Sus scrofa: one gene and its partner. The protein of the gene in region 1 purifies or fractionates together with the protein of each later gene. This does not show direct contact. Links are inferred from orthologs where the notes say so. Each region holds a gene or a part of one and is shown on either strand. Other genes may lie near its edges.

Region 1 (3,912 bases):
CTGTGGGGACAGAGAGGAGGGGCCTCTCGGTCAACCTTCCTTGAGTTTTCCTTCTGAGCCCCGACCAGGGCCTCGACCTCCAGGGACCCCCTCCTTGGTTATGAGCTGCCCAGTCTGGAGGTGTTTTTTTTTTGGGGGGGGTCACACCCGCAGCTTATGGAAGTTCCCAGGCCAGGGACTGAATCCAAGCCACAGCTGTGACCTATGCCACAGCAGCAGCAACACCAGATCCTTAACATACTACACCAGGCTGGGGATCAAACCCGAGCCTCTGCAGCGACCAGAGCCACTGCAGAGACAGCACCGGATCCTTAATTGCACCACAGCACCACTCCTAGAGTTTCTTTTTTTAAACTTGGAGACATCATTCACCTCAGTACGGGGTAGGTAGTCAGGGTCCGCAGGTACTCTTGCGATGAGCTCACAGAGGACAATCCCAAAGGCAAAAACATCAGCCTAGGGGTAGAAGAGAATGTCAGGGGGAGGCAAAGATAGTTTCATGTCAAGTCAGAAATCAGGGGAGTCTTGCCAGTTTTCATGTGTTGGAGAGGGTGCCTGTGAGGGGTCAGGGGGATCTTGGGCATCTCCTAAACATCCGGTAGGATTGCTGCAGAACTTGGGATGAGGCCTTATAAGAGTATCTCAAGGGTCTCCTGAAGTCCTATATCTTACCTTCTCATCATACAGCTCACCCCGCAACACCTCTGGAGCCATCCAGTATGGAGAACCCACCACAGCCAAAGGCTCCTTCCTTGCCCCTTCCCTGTAAGGGCAGGGGCAGAGGCTGAGTGGCCAGGAACATCCCACCCAGACACCTTCCCAAATGAAAGGGGATGAGGTCAGCCCCCACCCCACCCCAAGGGAAATGTCCCTGTGGGCTTCACTTAGATTGGAGCCTTCTGGGAGGTTTAGTGGGTGGGGCATTCACCTCACCTATACACAGGAATCTTTTCGGCCAGCCCGAAGTCACCCACGACTGCTGTGAAGCCTCGGTCTTCGCGTCGGATCAGACAGTTCTGAGATACACATATCGCATCCATACATGCCCATCACGTTCGGTTCTCTGATCTCCCAATATACGCCCCAAAGACCTGTCACTTCAGAATAATCCCAGCCCTCTCTAATCTTCCAGTTTGCCAATGCTCCCCCATCTTTCAACGTCATCCATCACTCCAGAAACAGCACGATACTCAGTCCCTCAGAGCACTCCCCCTCATCCCAGTCCTCCCCTCTTTCCAATGTCTTGCTACTCCAACATCCTGATGTCTATTACCCACACTCTAATATTCATGGGCTAGTTACAATCTAATAAATCTCAAATCTCCTTTCATGCCCCCACCCACCTGGCCAGCCTACCTTGGAGGTGAGGTCTCGATGGAATACACCTTTGGCATGCAGGTACCGCAGGCCCCGGGCGATGTCCAAAGCCAGGCGGAGCCTGACAGGCCAGGATAGGGGTTCAGGGGAGCTGAGCAGCTGTTCCAGAGTCCCCCCATTCATATACTGGGTCACAGGGGTAGGAGAAGGGGAATGAATGTCAAGATTTCAGTCAGTAGCCTAGGTCTCCCACTTTTAAGCCAGGGGACCCAGGAGGATCACAAAGTCAGGAGGGTGAGTCTGCTCTAGGGCTCCTCCATTCATATCCTGAGCCTGTCCTGTCCCATACACACGCACAACTATTTAAATTTAAACAAAATGGAACATTCAGTTCCTCAGTCACACTAGCCACATTCCCAGGGATCCTTAGCCACATGTGGCTAGTGGCTGTGGTTTTGGACAGCGCAGATATAGAACATTTTCATCTTTGCAGGAAGATCTATTGGACAGCACCGTTCTAGAGGATATAAAGGACGGGACCAGCTGAGGCCTTTTATTTGTGGTTTGCCTAAAGGGAAGTTCAGGAAAGCCTCCCCTGGGAGGACGTCCTGCTGCCCCTCATTATTCGTCTGTAGATGCACCAGGCCGCTGACTCGCCCCTTGGTGGTGGGGTCCCCCCTTGCTGGTTCATCCTCACCTCTGTAAGAGCATGCAGCTGTCCCTGGTGCACACAGACCCCCATGAACCTGGAAGAGGATGGGAAAGACAGCAAGGTAGTCTGGAAGAGTCCCGGCCCCTGGACAGTTCCCACTTTTCCCGCGGGATCTTTCCCCCTCCCCCAGCAAGCGGTTGGGGCCGCTCACCTTAGGATGTTGGGGTGCCGAAGTCGGTTCATCAGCTGCACCTCCCGTAGCGTGTTTCCCCGGTTACTGGGGAGTCTGTTCATTTTCAGCACCATGACTTGCCCTGACTGTCGGTGCCGAACCTGGGGGCAGCAGGGGCTGGCGAGTCCCGCGCAGGTCGGGCGAAACGCCAGGGTCTGGGCCCCCTTGTCCCAGCCTCGCGTCTAAGGCTCGGTCCCGCCCCTCTGCCCTCTCTGCTGGTCCTACCTTGTAGACCTCAGAGAAGAAGCCGGCCCCGATCTTCTCCGCGCAGTGGAAATCGTCCACGCGTGCCAAGCTGGACACCGCGCTGCGGAGAGCCCGGTAGGAGGAGGGGCGGCCCCGGCCCGGGCCTCCGCCCGCGCCCCCCGGCCCCGGGGGCCCCTCCCCCGGCGCCTCTCCGGGCCCGGGCCCGGGCCCAGGGCCCCGCAGTGGGGGCCGTTCCCCGGCCATGGCCGGGCCCCCCAGCCCGGGCCTGCCTCACATGGCAGGGTTCCCGGGGCCCGGGCAGGCCGCGCTCGCCATGGGTGCGGGCCCAGCCGGATCCGGGGCGCCGGAGCTCCCACTCCCTCTCCCGCCCTGGAGAATGGAAGATCTGCCGAAGCTCCTGGGCCCGCCCCCGCCGCGCCGGCTTGCTGCGCCCGGGTGGACGCCGCTCCGCTCGGCTCTGCGCAGGGCCTGGGCCTGGGCCTGGGCCGGGCGGTGGCGGTGGCGCTCCCGGGCGCCGGCGGGCAGGCGGGGGTACTCCCCGCAGGCGGAGGCGGGCGGGCGGGCGGGCGGCGGCTGCTCCACTTCGCCGCTGGGGCTCAGGCTCCGCGGCCTGCCGGGGGCGGGGCTGAGCCGGGCCTCTGCTTAACTCCTTCGAGCCCGCCTCGGGGCAGCGGCCACGCCCCCTCAGGTGCGCACCCCGCCACCAGTGGCCGGGACGCCCTAGGCTAGTGGGTCTGAGAAGTCGGGGTCAAAGAAGTTAAAGCCAAAGCTAAATAACGGAAGGGAATTAATGGCTCATTGTGCGTATGCGCAGCTCAAAGGTCTTTTAGCTGCCGTGAGAGCCCTTTCTCCCCTCCCTCCCTCGGGTCTCTGTCTTTTGAGGGCCAGGCTCTGGAAGCCGCCGGACTCCTGGACTCCATGGACAGGCAGGGTAGAAAAGTAGACCCCTCTGGTCCCGCCACAATCGGGGCAGCAACCTACCCACCTGCCCAGCCTCCGCCCTGGCCGAGCCTGCCCATTTCCCAGCTCTCGACCCTTACACTTTAAACCTCCGACTCCCTGACACTTTGTACCTTCCCCGGAGGTTGTGACGCCCCAGAGCTGTAGTGAGCCCTTGGCCAGCCCATTCCAGGTGTGGCCCCAAGTCCTGCTCACTCCATCCCGCCTCTCGCGAAAAAAGTTTAGATTCAGGGGCTTCTGCGCACTGACCACACAGCCTGGAGCCTCCTCTTACTATTTCGTCCACATGCCCTTCTTTCTCAAAAGAGAAGTCTCCACCTGTAGGGAAATATCCCACCCCTTGGCAAAACCCCGCCCCTCAAGGAGCCCTCCCCCTCAGAGAACCAACTCTTTCCTCAGTGAGAGTCTCTCCTTCAGAGGAACATCTCCGCAATGTGACCATGCCGCCAACAGTGTGTGCCAGAATCCCTCAGTGCGACACCCCTCCTCTGTCCGTCTCGCCCTTCCAGGGCGAACCCCACCTCTCAGAGCGATTCCACCCGTC
Region 2 (3,812 bases), about 30 Mb from region 1:
GGCTAACGAATCCGACTAGGAACCATGAGGTTGCAGGTTCGATTCCCTGGCCTTGCTCAGTGGGTTAAGGATCCTGCGTTGCCGTGAACTGTGGTGTAGGTTGCGGATGTGGCTCGGATCCCACGTTGCTGTGGCTCTGGTGTAGACCCCTAGCCTGGGAATCTCCATATGCTGTGGGTGCGGCCCTACAAAAGGCAAAAAGACAAAATAAAATAAAATAAGCATTAAAACCCCGTTTGGCTGCCTGCAAGGAGTGCCTTTGTGAAGATATTTTTCATCTGTCAGTACAAGGTAGGGGTCCTGCATCTCACAGTTGGAAGAGAGAATCACCCCATCCAACCAAATATCCTAGCCAATGTAGGAATCCCAGCTTGTGTCGTCTGGCCTCAGATGTCACCAAAGCAGAGAACCCATTGTTTGGTGAGGTAACCTGATACACTCCGTAGCAGTTCTCATGCCTTCTGATCACGGTTCTAATGCTTTTATCTGGAGCCACGCAGAATACGTTCCCTCCTTCCTCTGTCCACTCTTTTTTGTGCCCTGCTTTGCTTCTTCGTGGTCTGTTCTTTCACCTACTTGTTATTATTATTATTATTTTGGGCTTTTATCTTTTTTTTAGGGCCATACCCACAGCATATGGAGGTTCCCAGGTAAGGAATCCAATCAGAGCTATAGCTGCAGGCCTACACCACAGCCACAGCACACGCAGGATCCCAGCCACATCTGCAACCTACACCAAAGCCAGGGCAACACCGACTCCTTAACCCACTGAGAAAGGCCAGGGATTGAACCTTCATCCTCATGGCTGCTAGTCGGGTTCGTTAACCACTGAGCCACGATGGGGACTCCCTTCTGTCCACTCTTAACAGATAGGTACTTGTCACCTGCTGCCTGCCAGACACTGTGCTCAGTGCTAGGAATACGCTGGGGAAAAGCGACAAAATGCCTGCCCTAAGGGAGCTCATAGTTTGCAAGAATGACCCAGAAAGAGTCCAGGCTCTCCACAGCACATTAGCCCTTCAAACACTTAAAAACAATTCTCATGTTCTTGGGAGACGCAAAGCATGATGAATTTTAATGAGAGAGTGGGGTTGTTGGAAGGATAAGAAATAATTAATGGTTAGGTACATGGCAAATGTTCAGGATTGCTCAGGACATACTTGTTTTTATTGTTCTTCTTTTTCTTTTTAAGGACCTCATGCAGGGCATATGGAGGTTCCCAGGCTAGGGATCTAATTGGAGCTACAGCTGCTGGCCTACACCACAGCCACAGCAGCTCGGGATCCAAGCTGCATCTTCGACCTATACCACAGCTCACGGCAATGCCAGATCCTTAACCCACTGAGCGAGGCCAGGGATCGAACCCGCAACCTCATGGTTCCTAGTCGGATTCATTTCCACTGCACCACAACGGGAACTCCGCTATTATTATTATTATTATTCAGGCCACATTTGACAGAATCTAGTGAAGACTGTGCTGGCTGGTCAAGTGCACCCACACCTAAGAGCAAGGCTATAGTCAATCAAAGCATATTTTAATTTTAAGCAGACAAGCCCCCACACCCTCCGCCCTACTTACTGATATCAATGCAATGGAGATCATCATAGAACTTGTCCCCTGCCAAGCCTCCATGGATGAAGAGCTTTGTCCCCGCTGCCACCATCACATGACCATGCCGGGGGGATGGAGGTTCTCCAAGTGTCTCTGGTTGTGACCAGGTCAGGGTGTCTAGAAAAATAAATTCAGTGACATCAGATGACAAAGCTATGAAGCAAGAACATGAGGAATATAGCCAAGCCACACCTCCCAGCGAGCAGAGAGGCCAGGCACAGAGTGATCTGGGGGTCATTCATTGCAACTTGCCAACTCAACCCAGACCTTCCTCCCTCTACAGCCTTTACAGCCTCTGCTGATCCACTTCCAGGGCTGGAGAATTTACTACTTAATATGCCTGCCCCTTCTACTGGGCATTAAGGAACCACTCTTTGCTTTGAATTAAGAATGGCCCAGAGTTACAAAGAATGAGTCTGCTTTTTCTGGGACAGGCTTTCAGTCTTCTCTTTTTCAAGACAATATCCTTTATTGATTTGCTGGAAGGGTGTGGGGAAAAAAAAAAAGACTACTTTTAAAGTTAGCAGGGCTTTCTGAAGTGGTTGTAGAGGGGTTAGAACATGGGATTTGGAGTTAAAACCGGGTTATTTCGCTGAATAACTATGTGGCCTTGCACCAGTTAATTCTTTAAGCTTCAGTTTCTGCAGCTGCAAAATGGGGGTAAAGACGATCCCTGATAATACCTACCTCTTGGGGTTGAAGTGTGGATTAAATGAGATAATGTACAGAAATCACAGGCGCAAAGAAAGTACTCGATACCCGAGAGTTAGTACTAACATGGTTATGATTCTGACAGTGCAGATGTGTTCTACCCGTTGACAAACCTTCATAGCTTCAAAATCGTACATATACAGAGTTCAGGAAAATCAATCATTTCAACTTATCAGGAAAGTTTCAAAGGAGTGCTACAAAAATTAGCTGAGACAAAGGCATGCCAACAATTTATTGCTGAATTAACATTTGTGGCATGCCAAAAGGTTGTTTGAGGAGCCCCCATTTTTCCAAGGAATATATTTGAGGGAGTTCCCATCGTGGCTCAGCGGTTAGCCACAGCATTTTTGTGGCTGTGGTGTAGGCCAGCAGCTACAGCTGCGATTAGATCCCAAGCCTGGGAACCTTCACATGCTGTGGGTATGGCCCTAAAATGCAAAAAAAAAAAAAAAAAAAAAAAAAAGGAACACAATTTGAAATAATCTGAAAAGTTCTAAGCATAAATAATGTTTCTCCTAGCATTGTTTATAAGAGTAGAAATGGAAGTAGCCTAAGTCCATCAACAGGTGAATGGATTAACTTTAATATATGCATTAAAAACATTGAAAGATTTGTGATTACAGGGGAAATGCTTAAGTGAAAAGTACTGGATACAAATACTACATTTAGAATTATCTCTCTTTTTAAACATACATAGGAGTTCCTGCTGTGACACAATGGTATTGGCGGGGTCTCTGGAACACTAAGACACAGATTCAATCCCTGGTCCAGCTCAGTGGGTGATGGGTCTGCAGCACTGGTCTCAGCTGTGGCTTGTATCTGATCCCTGGCCTGGGAGGGAACTCCATATGCCACAGGGCAGCCAAAAAAAAAATGTAATACAGAAAGTAAATGTCAGGAGTTCCCGTCGTGGCTCGGTGGTGAATGAATCTGACTAGGAACTATGAAGTTGCAGGTTCGATCCCTGGCCTTGCTCAGTGGGTTAAGGATCCAGCGTTGCAATGAGCTGTGGTGTAGGTTGCAGACGCGGCTCAGATCCCACGTTGCTGTGGCCCTGGTGTAGGCTGGCGGCTACAGCTCTGATTAGATCCCTAGCCTGGGAACCTCCATATGCCGTGGGAGCAGCCCTAGAAATGGCAAAAAAAAAAGAAAGTAAATGTCAGATCTGGTCTTCAGACCATGTTACGGGCTTCAAAGTTTATGCTTTCAACTAGTACCAAGATCTATCCTTAGCCCCCCAAAAGTCAGAGGCAGATAAGTATATATATATACATATACATATATATATATACACACACATATATATATGCATATATATACACATACACACACACACACACACACACACACACACACACACATATATATATATTTTTTTTTTTGGTCTTTTTAGGGCCATGCCTGTGGCATATGGATTTTCCCAGGCTAGGGGTCCAATTGGAGCTGTAGCTGCCAGCCTACACCACAGCCACAGCAACTCGGGATCCAA

The links.
Region 2: the proteins of TESK1 (region 1) and RABEPK purify together in Homo sapiens (affinity purification with mass spectrometry; 3 studies listed by BioGRID and IntAct, with this or other methods). This does not show direct contact. The link is inferred for Sus scrofa from reciprocal best matches to the Homo sapiens genes TESK1 and RABEPK.

The regions. Positions count from the first base shown.
Region 1 is NC_010443.5:236,340,199-236,344,110, reverse strand, and holds the start of TESK1 (dual specificity testis-specific protein kinase 1), read right to left. Parts: upstream 2,952-3,912; 5' UTR 2,652-2,951; coding exon 2,427-2,651; intron 2,319-2,426; exon of another isoform or gene 2,303-2,318; coding exon 2,181-2,302; intron 2,064-2,180; coding exon 2,015-2,063; intron 1,504-2,014; coding exon 1,357-1,503; intron 1,017-1,356; coding exon 934-1,016; intron 764-933; coding exon 673-763; intron 457-672; coding exon 373-456; intron 1-372. UniProt on the Homo sapiens protein: Dual specificity protein kinase activity catalyzing autophosphorylation and phosphorylation of exogenous substrates on both serine/threonine and tyrosine residues.
Region 2 is NC_010443.5:265,921,998-265,925,809, reverse strand, and holds part of RABEPK (rab9 effector protein with kelch motifs), read right to left. Parts: intron 1,730-3,812; coding exon 1,580-1,729; intron 1-1,579. UniProt on the Homo sapiens protein: Rab9 effector required for endosome to trans-Golgi network (TGN) transport.